Ovis aries: one gene and its partners. The protein of the gene in region 1 interacts with the protein of each later gene in a pairwise test. Links are inferred from orthologs where the notes say so. Each region holds a gene or a part of one and is shown on either strand. Other genes may lie near its edges.

The links.
Region 2: the proteins of TRIM27 (region 1) and PUS7L interact in binary tests that used the Homo sapiens proteins (3 or more experiments, as listed by UniProt). The two-hybrid records come from large-scale screens. The link is inferred for Ovis aries from reciprocal best matches to the Homo sapiens genes TRIM27 and PUS7L.
Region 3: the proteins of TRIM27 (region 1) and TBC1D22B interact in binary tests that used the Homo sapiens proteins (3 or more experiments, as listed by UniProt). The link is inferred for Ovis aries from reciprocal best matches to the Homo sapiens genes TRIM27 and TBC1D22B.

The regions. Positions count from the first base shown.
Region 1 is NC_056073.1:29,121,728-29,125,373, forward strand, and holds part of TRIM27 (zinc finger protein RFP), read left to right. Parts: intron 1-589; coding exon 590-820; intron 821-3,646. UniProt on the Homo sapiens protein: E3 ubiquitin-protein ligase that mediates ubiquitination of various substrates and thereby plays a role in diffent processes including proliferation, innate immunity, apoptosis, immune response or autophagy.
Region 2 is NC_056056.1:142,993,975-142,998,311, forward strand, and holds the start of PUS7L (pseudouridylate synthase PUS7L), read left to right. Parts: upstream 1-1,459; 5' UTR 1,460-1,496; exon of another isoform or gene 1,497-3,503; intron 3,504-4,337. UniProt on the Homo sapiens protein: Pseudouridine synthase that catalyzes pseudouridylation of mRNAs.
Region 3 is NC_056073.1:11,213,427-11,217,643, reverse strand, and holds the start of TBC1D22B (TBC1 domain family member 22B), read right to left. Parts: upstream 2,879-4,217; 5' UTR 2,856-2,878; coding exon of another isoform or gene 2,800-2,855; 5' UTR 2,703-2,799; coding exon 2,494-2,702; intron 1-2,493. UniProt on the Homo sapiens protein: May act as a GTPase-activating protein for Rab family protein(s).

The DNA of each region.
Region 1 (3,646 bases):
CATGTGGCTTCTCTGACAGTCTTTCATGGCTCCCACTTGCAGTGAAGTCCTACCAGGCTTCTCATCTCTTACTTTATCTGCCATCTTCACAAGCACTCATGTGCTCCAGCCAGACTCCATCATTTGCCTTTCCACTCTTTGGTCCATGGCATTTCTTCTGCCTGGAAAGCTCTCCTGTTCTTTGACCATAAAGTGAACCTCTAGTCATCCTTCAAGACTCTTTGTGAACACTGCTTCTGAGAACTGTATCAGCTTCTGCTGAATGCTGTCACCCTCGTTGTGCTTAACTAGCCATGATGACATGTATCACATGAACCTGACTCTCACTTGACTGAGTTCCTTGAGAGCAGAGACTGTGGGTTTTTTTTGTTTGTTTTTTCAGACTGCCTTGGTTATCACTGGGGTAATTCAGTTCTCTGCCATTGTATATCCAGTCAGTAAACATTGGAAAAGAATAAGTGAGTGAACAAGATGCTTGTATACTGGGATGAAATAATGAGGTCTTGGGGTAGATAGACAGGGGAGAAATGTGAAGGGCTCTAGAAGCAGCCTTTCCTCTCTTCACTGCCCTTCCCTGTGGTCTACACAGAGCCTGACCCAGATGGAGAGGGAGAAGATTGTTTGGGAGTTTGAGCAGCTGTATCACTCCTTGAAGGAGCATGAGTATCGCCTTTTGGCCCGTCTCGAGGAGCTAGACTTGGCCATTTACAACAGTATCAATGGTGCCATCACTCAGTTCTCTTGCAACATCTCCCACCTCAGCAACCTGATTGCCCAGCTGGAAGAGAAGCAGCAGCAACCCACCAGGGAGCTCCTGCAGGTAAGACTGAAAGTCCTCTGCCAAGCAGTATCCAGGGCCCCCTACTCCCTTGTTGAAACTCTGATTGTAGCAAGGGCATGTTAGAAGGGAAATGTACAGTAGAGGCCCTGGTTGGCACAGCTTGGGTCAGTCAGTTGCACCGTGTCGTGGAAAGGTCAAAAGGAAGACCTGTCCTGCTCAAGCCTGTTCTGCACTGATAAGTGGTCTGATCACAGGCAAGGCTCTTGACCTCTCTGGGCCTCAGTGAACTCAGTTACTCATGTAATGAGGAATTTGGCCCACATGTCATTTAAAGATTCTCCTCACCCCAGTATCCTATAATTGTAACATGTATGTGCGCACTATGACAACCACAAAATAACAAGTGGTCAGCCCAAGCAGTCTTGGGATTTAATCTTGGTTGTATGAGTGATAAAGCTGCAGTAGACCCAGCTCAGCAAGACCACAGGAAATGAGCTGATTGTTTGTCTGTTGTTTGTTCATTCAGTGCGTATGAATTTTCTGTTCTGGGTCAAGCACTGGAATTAAGTGGATAAATAAGCTCTCCTGAAATTTAAATTCTGATGTCAAGATCATATGATAAAGAAGTGAACAAACAAGTTATCATCAGTGTTGCCATTAAAAAAGGGCTGATGGGTTTAGGGTCAAGAAACTATGGGCCACCACCTGTGTTTGTGTGTCCTGCGAGCTCATTGTGCTTTTTAGTTTTGAATAGTTGGGGAAGAAAAATCAGAAGAATGTTTGTTATTTTGTGATATGTGAAATTGCATAAAATTCAAGCTTCATTGTCCATACACTATTATTAGAACGTAGCCCATTTATTTGTTTTGTATTCTCTGTTGCACCAGAGTTGAGTAGTTGTGCCAGAGACTCTATGGCCTTTTTCTTAGAAAAAGTTCAACAACTCTTACTTCACATTAAAAAGAGAAGGCTTAATCTTGAGCTTAATGAACACCAATATTTAATTGTTAGAGAAGGAAGAGCTTGCAGGGGGAATAGTTTACCAGAGAGGCAATATGTGATCAGGGAGGAAGAATGTTTCTGGAAGGAGGCAGTGGACAACAGAGTCTAATGCAGTTGAGGTGAAATAATATGAAGGCTGAGAGCCATTTGGTTTAAAACATGACCATCCTTGATAAACTTTTGTAGAGCTGCCCGAGTGGAGCAGTCTGGGCAGGAACCACGTGAGGAGAAGTTGTATTGACCGAGTGAATGGAAGCTGCGAGAGTAAATGACTATTTCAATAAATAAGGCTGAGGAAGAGATAAAAAGAAAATACTTGGAGATGAGGTAGAATTGTGGGGCTTTATGGGAAGAGGATGCTTAAAGAAACCAGTTAAAGATATCTTTAAAAAAAAATGTGGAGAGGAGCATCTGTTGTAAAGATTCAGGTGAAGAAAATTTACTGAAGCTCTAAGGATGAACTCATCTCTGATGTGCTGTTTCTGAGAAGGCAGAAGGAAGGGTAACTGAAGCATGTAGGAGGGACTTAGCTTTGAAATATCCTCTGTTGTATAAGAAGAAAGGAGGGTGGGGACAGGTAGATGCAGCAGGTTGTGAGGACTGGTAGCAAAAACGTCTTGGCTTCTATCCTCTTTGGCTGCCATTGTGCAGGGGTTAGAGAAAATAATGAGTTTGAGGATTGTGGGAAAGTTCTGGAATTATTGTTTCAGAGTATGGGAAAGCAAATTGGTTCGCAAGACATAGTCGAGTTATTTGGTCAGTGAACGTCAGTTTATATCAGAATTTGTCTGTCCAGGTGTGTGACTTTTTCCCGTCCCGGCTTTGCTTTCTATGATTGTGACTGTTCTGGTTCCAGGCCTAGGGAAAGCTGGTAGTTGGGGTCATCCAGGGTTAGGACTTTGCAAGATGTGAGGGTTTTTGTTTGTTTGTTTTTGGCCTTGCCGCACTATTTGTAGGATCTTAGTTCCTTGACCAGGGATTGAACCTGGGCCCATGGCAGTGAAAGCACAAAATCCTAACCACTGAACCGGTCAGGGAACTCCCCCTGTTCTGGCTTTTTGATTAGGATAAAATATACATAACATAAATTAACTGTTTTAACCATTTCAAAGTGTACAACTTGGTACATTTAGTAAACGTAATGTTATCCAACCATCATAGCTGCATAGTTCCAGAACACATTCATCATCTCAGAAGGAGACCTTGTACCCATTAAACAGTCACTCCTCATCCCATTCTACCCAGTGGCAACCATGGGTTTGCTTATTTTTTTAAGGTATTTGTGAGAATATTTCTGAACACATGGACCATGAAATCAAAACTGGATGATAAAGAAAAGTAGAGAAAGAAGAGGGCAAGTTGTGGACTCCATGGGGGAGAGTGGTCATGGTAGAAGTCATTTGAAAAGTAAACTGAATCTTAACGTGGAGAAGGAGAACATTCCCACTAAGGTCAGGAACAGGGCAAGATGGCCACTGTTGTCTAACTGTATTTTAACGTATGGACACAGAGGAATGTTATGCAACTATAAAAAAAGAAAAAGGAAGATACCTATGATATAACTGATAAAGAGGAGTTTCTATAATGTATTGGGAAGTGAAAAAAATCAAAGTGCAAAATATAGATTATGCTTTTTGTGTAAGAAAGAAGAGATAATTAGAAAATACATGTATCTGTAGGTATTTGCAAGGTAAACACTGGAATGATAAACCAGATAATAATTTGGAGAATGAGATGAGAAGAGATAGGAAAAAAGTGACAGATTCTCTGACCAAGTCTCAGATTTTTTGAGCGCCGAAATTGTTAAGAATAGTGATGAGTTATAACCCATTGAATAAAGTAGGAATTGATGGTTCCATACTA
Region 2 (4,337 bases), on another chromosome or scaffold:
AATCCTGTATGCTGCTATGAAGAGTGACAAGTTGGCACCAAGGTTTCTGGCTTGAACAAGCTTCCTGACCTTTACAATAAGATGGAGAAGACTGTGAAAGGGCCCTGACCGTCTGTACCCAAGAGGAGCGCGATGTATGTTAGTATCGCGCCTTGAGTTAGGCGGGGATGGGGGTGGAGAAGACGCCCGTGGTTCCGGCCCTCTCCGCCCCCTTCCTGACCTTTACAATAAGATGGAGAAGACTGTGAAAGGAGCATGTTTAGCCTGGAAGTTCAGGATTTCTGTTTGCACAGGGGTAAGCAAACGTCAAATGAACGTTTAGCACGCAAACAAAAGTAAAAAGAAATCTTAACTTTCTGACAGGTCTCGTCAAGGATTACCCTCAGAAAGGGAAAAGGCAAATCTGAATATCCTCTGCTCTCAGCTCTTAAGGCAGAGACGTTTTTGAGGCACTTGTTCAGTTGCTAAGTCCCGTCCTACTCTTTGCGACCCCAAATAGCCCCCCAGGCTCCTCTATCCTCCACTATCTCTGGGAATTTGCTCAAATTCATGTCCAGTGAGTCGGTGATGCTATCCAATCATCTGTTCCTCTGCCACCCCTTCTTTTGCCTTCAATCTTCCCCAGCATCCCATCCTAAATGGCTAAAATGCTTTCTGAGGTTGCTTTTCATCCCTTGGCTCCCTCTCGTTTCCAGGCTGTCGGTACCCTTTCCCCATCTGATAACGTACTGACAATGCCGCTCCACTTTCTAATTTCCTGGAAGCCTGAGAAACTAGCTAATTAGAATTTTGGGGGGGGGGGTTTAGAATGCTTTCCACGCGGTCAGCATCTTTGTTGGGTGCTGGTCCTACTTCCTGGTTCTGAGGAAAAGAGATTTCATTTCGTAAACAGGGTTCTCGGAACACATAGCTCGGGAGTTGAGAAACTCGAGGCGGGGTCCGACCACCGAGTGACGCTTCTCTTCGCCCCACGGTCCTCCAATGGAGGACCCACCAATTTTCCAATCCCTAGGGACCCACCCAAATCTTTACCCTGGAGCAGGCGCTGCCCACGCAACCTACTTCCCCTCTAACTTTTCTCACGTGCGCTGAAGGGATTTTCCTTCCGAGCAGTCCCTCCACAACCCTGAGGCCAGGGCGCAGACCTCGGACACTTCGCGGAGAAGGTGGCGCGCAAGTCCGGAACCCCTTACCTGCCCGGGCGCGGGGCGCAGGGGCGCACGGGGCGCCGCAGGGCTGAGCCAGCGACCTCAGGACCCAGGCACTACGAAGGGCCGGGGCGTGCCCAATCCGTCAGGTCCCGCCCCCGCCCCTCTCCGCCCCCTTCCTCTTTGCGCTTCCCCCTCGCCGCTTCACTGAGTCAAAAATTCCAGAGAGGCGTTTCTTTAAGTAGGAGCCTGTCCCTTTAAATACTCTTCTGTCGGAGCCTAGCTAGTTTATGGCTTCCGGGCATGCGCACGGCGAGGTGCGGAGGAAACCCTTCAGCTGGACTTGAGGTAGACTGGGCTGAGCTTCTTGGCGCCACGTGGGCTTGTGCAGGGGGCGATGACAGTATCGGCATTGAGACCCTGACGCTCTGTCCCCAAGAGGAGCGCGATGTGAGCTAGTATCGCGCCTTGAGTTAGGCGGGGATGTGGGTGGAGAAGACGCCGGTGGAGCCAATGGCTGTGTCGGGGGTGCTTTGGAAAGCGCCTGAAGTCTAAGCTGCAGGAGTCAGTCCTGCTGGTTGGTGGCAGAAGTAGGAAGTAAGAGTGAATTAGGTGGAGCGTTGGCGGTGGAAGGAACAGGAGGAGCTACTGTCCTTTTTTAACATCCTGCTAGACTCTGCCCTTAGCCACAACCCAAATTCCCAAGCCTTGGGTCAGCCAAACTGCCCTCTCCATGTCCGCCCGGCAGGCTTATCGACACATCTGTGGCATGGAAACTCGACTCTGTGTGGGTTCCTTGGCTGCCCTTCAGCACGGTTCCACTCTTACTAGGATGCTTGGCCGTAATTCCCTCATCGTTGTATTCTCAAATTGTTCTCCTATGCCACTAGCTTAGAATGTTTTCCTATCTTGTTCCTACAGCTGAGCTCTTGATCACATCTTGTTGCTTTTGATCTTCTCTAACTGTTCAACAGATTCATCCTGCCTAGTACTATCAGTCATCTTACTAAAACATCTTTTAGGATTGTGTTATTTTCCTGCTCAGACACCTCCAGTGGCCATCGATTAACCACTCAATGGATTCTAAGCCCCTGACAGGGCATTAAGTGTTTTACCTAGTTTGGCACTAATCCGGCCATATTTTCCAGAACTGTGCTAGAAAACACTTTCTCCTACTGCTCTGTATCTGGGCTGTTCAGTTTTTTCTTAACACGTTGCATAGTTTGTTTATGCCTTTGCCTCATTTCTGTCTCCTGAAGTGTTTTGAAAATGTGGCCACTTCTTGCATTATGCTTGACTGATTATTCTAGGCAAAAGTGACCCCTGTCTTTCTTCCTCTTCACTCTTACTGCTCTTATTTTGTACTAGTCATTGTATTTATTCAATAATCAGTATTGATTGTGCATCTGCTATGTGCTTGATTCTATTCTAATTGTGAGATAATCAATGAATAAGGCAGACAGATTCTTTCATGGAGCAAACATTCTAGTTGAGATAGGTATTTAGTAAATAGTGAAGTAAAATGATTAAATAGAAATATGCAGAAAATTAAATAAGATTTTATGAAAAATAGTGACTTGCTGGTTTCTTCCGATTATTGGTCAAGGAAGATCTCTTTAAGGATATAATTGAAGAGAGGCTGATTTAATCAACAGGAACAGCTGGCATAAAGGAACTGAAGAAGGCCAGTGTAGCTGAAGTATAGTGGATAATGGGGAAAGGGTACAGGACAAATTTGGAGAACAGAGTTCAGAATCTTAGAAGTCTTTGGAAGCCAGGGTAGGTAATTTGGATTTTATTATAAATGTGATTAGAGGGTTTAAATAGGGTTGTGCTATGATTTAATTTTCCTTTTTAAATCATCATTCTGGCTACTATGTGGAAAATTGACTATGGTGGATTAGTAATAGAAGCAGAGATTAGAGGCCTTCATAGTGTATAAGAATTTCTGGAATGAACGTATTAAAATAGAGGTGATGAAAGTTAGGGCTAATCAGAGAGCCAGATGCTTAAAGGTGATGCAACTTTTGGTGACGAGAAAATCAAAGCTAAGACCAAGATAAAGTAGAAGGTTTGAGGTTGAGATTAAGGAACTGAAGGACTGTGATGTTAAATGAATCATCCATACGGATGGTTGTGGAGGTCAGGCTGGATAGTATATTTTAAGCTAGGTATTAAAGTCATTAGTGAGTGAAGAAGAATTGTCCTGAGACCAGAGAGAGGGTGGCAGCAAATAGTACAGCCTGATGGCATGAACTTCAAAGGAAATGGGATTTGAGGAGGTAGAGGAAGAAGAAGTGGTTTGGAAGCAGCAGTGGCAAACACGGAAAATATTTACAACCTCCAGGTCCCCAGGTGGGTATGAAAGGAAAATAGCTGTCACATAGGAGGACTACAGAAGAAGCAGCCCAAGGGAAATAGCCAGGTTTCAGTTCAGGCAAGAAACTGAGGAGTCTGTGCAGGAAATTAAGGAATGAGGAAAAATAAATATATCCTATTTATTTCCTAGGACAGTAGAATATTAGGAAATTTCTGTGAGTTCCACATTACAGAAAGGATGGAGTGGAAGTGGTTTTCTAAATTGGTTCAGATGAATAGATACACGGTAGAAATGGGATGAAGGTCCAGATGATGTATTACCTGGAGAGCATGATGAACACAAAGATTTGGGCAGTACCAGTTCCTTGGGCATTTTATCTCTCCTAAAACTCCACTTGGTAGCCATGGATTGTGTGAAGAGTGAGTGAAGGTTGCTTCAAGAAGCTCTGTAAATGTGTCTTCTCTCTGATGCCAGAGAGAGATGGTTGTGCTTTTCTTATGGGTCAGCTGAAAAAGTTTGTATCTGAGCTTTCATGAAGGTTTAAGGTCCAAGGTTAACATAAGCCTTCCTTGAAGCCTAATCACATTGCATGTTGGTTTTATTTAATTAATTTCTTTGGCCATGCGCCTTGGAATCATGCCCAGCAGATCTTAGTGCCCTGACCAGGGCTCAAGCCTGCACCCCCTGCATTGGAAGCTTGGAGTCTTAACCACTGGACTACCATGGACATCCTGCAAATTGTTTTTAGTACTTCATTATATGTCATTGTGGACTGTTTTTTTCCTGTCTTCCCCTCAGCCTTTACCCTACCCCTATCCCTCCATATATTAGTATCTAGTCACAGATTCTCTGAAATTAACTAGAAATTT
Region 3 (4,217 bases), about 18 Mb from region 1:
GGCCTCTTACTACATTACTCCATTTATACAAAATGTTCAGAATAGGTAAATCCATATAAACAAAAAGATCAGTGGTTGCCAAGGGCCAGAGAGAGGTGGGGAGGAGGAGTGACTACTAATGGCTATGAGGTTTCTTTTGGGGTGATGAAAATACTCTGAAATTAGTGTTGATGGTTGCACAAAACCATTTATACTCTAAATGAATGTACTAAATACCACCAAATTATACACTTCAAAAGGGTGAATTTTTATGATATGTGAATTATCTCAATAAAGCTGTTATTTTACAGAAGGATGTTTAATTCGTTTTGAACTTGAGGCTATTTTACTACATAAAATTCCTATTTGCTGTAATTAAGGTTGCTGGATCATGATCAAAGAAACTGAAAGTCATCTGCTATCGTTTTGAATTTTTACCTTTCAATTTGCAAAGGGGAAGCTAGTCTCACTTCTAAGTTGCCATGGACCTAGACAGTTATCTGTGTCATTTCTCCACCCAGACAGTTTTTCTTCACTATACCCGAAAGAATACAAATGCAAAAGTTCTATTCTTGAGAAAATGTACTAATATTCTCCTTACATCAAAGCACTTTCTCTCTAAAAGAATTTTGATTTTCTCCCATAACCAAGGGCTCCTAGGGCTTCTTGCTAAAAGTGCATAGTTGAACAATATTTCTCTTCAACAAGCAAGGTACTAAACACCATTATGAATCATGGCAACACTTTAATGTCTTAAGATAAATAATGAACATAAATACCTCTTATTGGAATAAGGATCAGAGAAGTATTCTTTTAAATGTATACTTTCTCTAATAATAACAGAAATACTTAGTATTTATTGAGCAACTATAAATAAACATTGTTTTATTTTATTTTTTTTTTAATTTTAAAATCTTTAATTCTTACATGTGTTCCCAAACATGAACCCCCCTCCCACCTCCCTCTCCATAACATCTCTCTGGGTCATCCCCATGCACCAGCCCCAAGAGGTGCTTTACAAATAGGATGTTTAATTCAATCCACAATGGAATCTTGAAGAAAGTATTTTTATCCTCTTTTCACAGATAAGGAAACTGAGGCTTAAAGAGATTAATTCTCCTTGATCACACAGATAACACTCCAATAATAATCCAAAGCTTTCAGAACTCAAATGTTCTCTCCTCTATCCTTTCATATTCCTCTTCAAAATGAAAAAGGAAGCCACAAACTTAAAGAAACTGAAAAGATCCCTCTTCCTATCTCACAAAAAATAGTGCTCTGCAAAAAAGATGACTGCTTCTACAATCCAAAAGAGGAAACACAGAAAATAAAAACTGTTAGTAACAATCAGCAGTTGGTAGGCACAAAAAAGATTATGCCATATCCCACATATCAAATACTGCTTCCTGATTTAACAGTTTTCCTATAGATCTAACTTTTGATGTCAAAATTTAATGATCTCACCATGGAAAACCCCGGAGAACAGCAGTTAGCAAGACTGGAGAGCTCCCTAGACCAGGAAGGAAAAGGAATCAGTAGGCAGGAAGTAGTGCCTATCTAAAAACATAAAAGTCTTTAGCATTAACACTGTTATTCCACAACATTTCAATCTGAAGTTATTTCTGAATTCCCTTACCCTATTTTTTTTTACTATATTAAGAAAAACTGATCCCTGACTGTCTAACAGGATCCTATCAATAAATAAGTCCACCATATAGCCACCACTGACCCTGATTTCTCTCTTGCTATTGATAAAACAAACCAAAAAAGCTACAGGTTTAAAGGGTTATCCCTTTATCAGTCAGCCAGGAAGGGTAGCACATGGGGTACAATCAATCATGAATTTCATCGTCAAACAGACTGTGGCTGGCTGAAATCTTAAATTTAAGATTGAAACATACACTCCTCCTTTTACTTCTCAGCACTACCCCCAAACAAATTGAAACTATAAACCAATAGTAGACTGACGAATGGACAATTGTTAAAGAGTCTCAACGTATACCAAAAAGGGGTGGGACGGGAGTGGAGATTATCTTAGAAATAATCTGTTCTCCACCTAAACAACTCTAGAATGAAAGAATTTAATGCATTTGCACAAGAAGCATTACCAGGCAGAGGAGAAGAGGCCACTGGGGTATGACAAATCCTTAGAAAATGCTAAAGAAATCATCTCGATCCTAAGTTATCCTGTAATAGTTCCTAATGGGAAAGGACCAACTCAAGATATCTTAAAGTGAGGTCGAGTTGAAGAATTTCCCTCACTTTTCTTATCCCCCCGCCCCCTCCACCCCGCCCCCCGGCAGACGGTCTCAAGCTCCCACCAGAACCTCTCTAGGAGTCCAGGAGAAATATTCGTACGTGCAGGGGCGAGGGGCAAGTGAAGGGGCCATCCTCGTGCAAACAACCACCTGTGCGTGGTGAAGACCCCTGCCCTCTCAAGTAGGAGTTCTTCTTAAAGTGAGAAGCAGCTCTGAGGACAGCCTTCCAAACCCAGAACCGACACTGATTACTCACTCAACTCCACTGTCCCCTATGCGCGGACTCCGGCCACCTCCCGGCTGAGGGAAGCCCCTCAAGAGCCCGACGCCCCCGGACCCGGGTCTGGTCCCACACCCAACCATCTCCAAAGCTCGCCGCCCACTCCTTTGCCTGACAGCCGTCCTGCCGCCACCAAGCAGTCCCAGCTCCCCCCCGCCCCACGCCCAGGTTCTCCAAACCAGCATTCTCGGATCGCTGGCGCCCCAGGCCCGCGGGAATTAGGGCTTAGGATTTAGAAGGGTTTGATCCAATCTCCTCTTCCTCTCAGCGTCCTGGGCTCACCTCCCCGGCAGCTTGGCGCTCCTCTTCCAAAACTGCTTGCTATTCTCGGCGGCCATTGCTCCGGCCCGGGGAAGGCTTTGTAGGCGGGCCAGGGGCTACCCAGCGAAATGCCCCCAGGACCCCGCAATCGCAGGGCCAGCTCAGGCCGCTTCCCCGCTGCCGGTCACCCGCTCCCAGCTCCCGGGGGCGCCATCTTGGATGTGGGCACCCCCCAACCCAGCGCCGCTGCCATTGGTGGGCTGCGCAGGCTGTGGGAGACGGACCAATCGGGAGCCAGAATCCTGCAGGCCGCTGAAGCCGAACAGTGACGTCAGGGGCTGGGCACACAGGTGAACCGAGAAGGCGGAGCTTGGACGAGGTGGGAGGCGGGGCTGAAAGTTCTTTCTCCTGGGCCGGGGAAGAAGCAGGTAAAGAAAGGGACCTCTGGGAAGAAGGAGAAGGTGCTGTTTTCTTTGGGGGTAATGAGGTTATTGAGTCAAATATTTTTTGAAAAGAGCATATATACTTAGGTATATAAATCTTTGACCTAAATATAAGGGCCCATGTATTGGTTGCTGCCCATTTTTAACATCTCCCAATTCAATGACACTCTGGTTATTATCCTTCCCACTCCCCTCTTTCCGTTCGGAATCTGATTTTTTCAATCGGTGGAGGAAAATCAATAACTGACCGGACGGTCCAGAGTTGCTAACTGTTCAACACAACACGTGACTAACGGTTGGTTCATAAGAGCCTCTCTCTCCTCAGATAATTGATCCCCGTGAAAGGACTTGTGCCATGCTTGAAATTCAGATGATCAAATCTCTGTTTCAACCAATAACCGTCACTTTCTGACCAAGAGAACCTAGATGCGGACAAACTGTTCAGGAAATAACCTTCTTTTATCTGTCCAATTCAGACCGCCAATGGACATCTTTAATCCCTTATTAATCTACTATAAATCTTCACCCTTGATTTTATTTTCGATCTAGTTTTGACTCAGAATGAGATCTAATATTAGCATTTTGAATCCTTTGAAAGTCTTGTCGGTGTTTTTTGCCCTTTTTGAGTTTCTGTGCTTGTGTACCACAGTGATGGGGCCGGGAGAGGGCAGGAAGCAGACCCTAGTCCACATAATTTCTATCCCATCAAAGGACTCTTGAAGTGGGCTGATTGTTCCTCACCCGTCACTCCTGGTTATTGCTATCACAGTCCTTCCACATATTGGAAGGTCTAAAGGATCTTTTTTTTTTTAATATAAATTTATGTATTTTAATTGGAGGCTAATTACAATATTGTAGTGGTTTTGCCATACATTGACATGGATCCGCAATGGTTGTACGTGTGTTCCCCATCCTGAACCCCTCTCCCACTTCCCTCTAAAGGACCTTTTTAAATAGGCCTGCTAATGGCGTCTTCCTACATAGACATTACCCCCA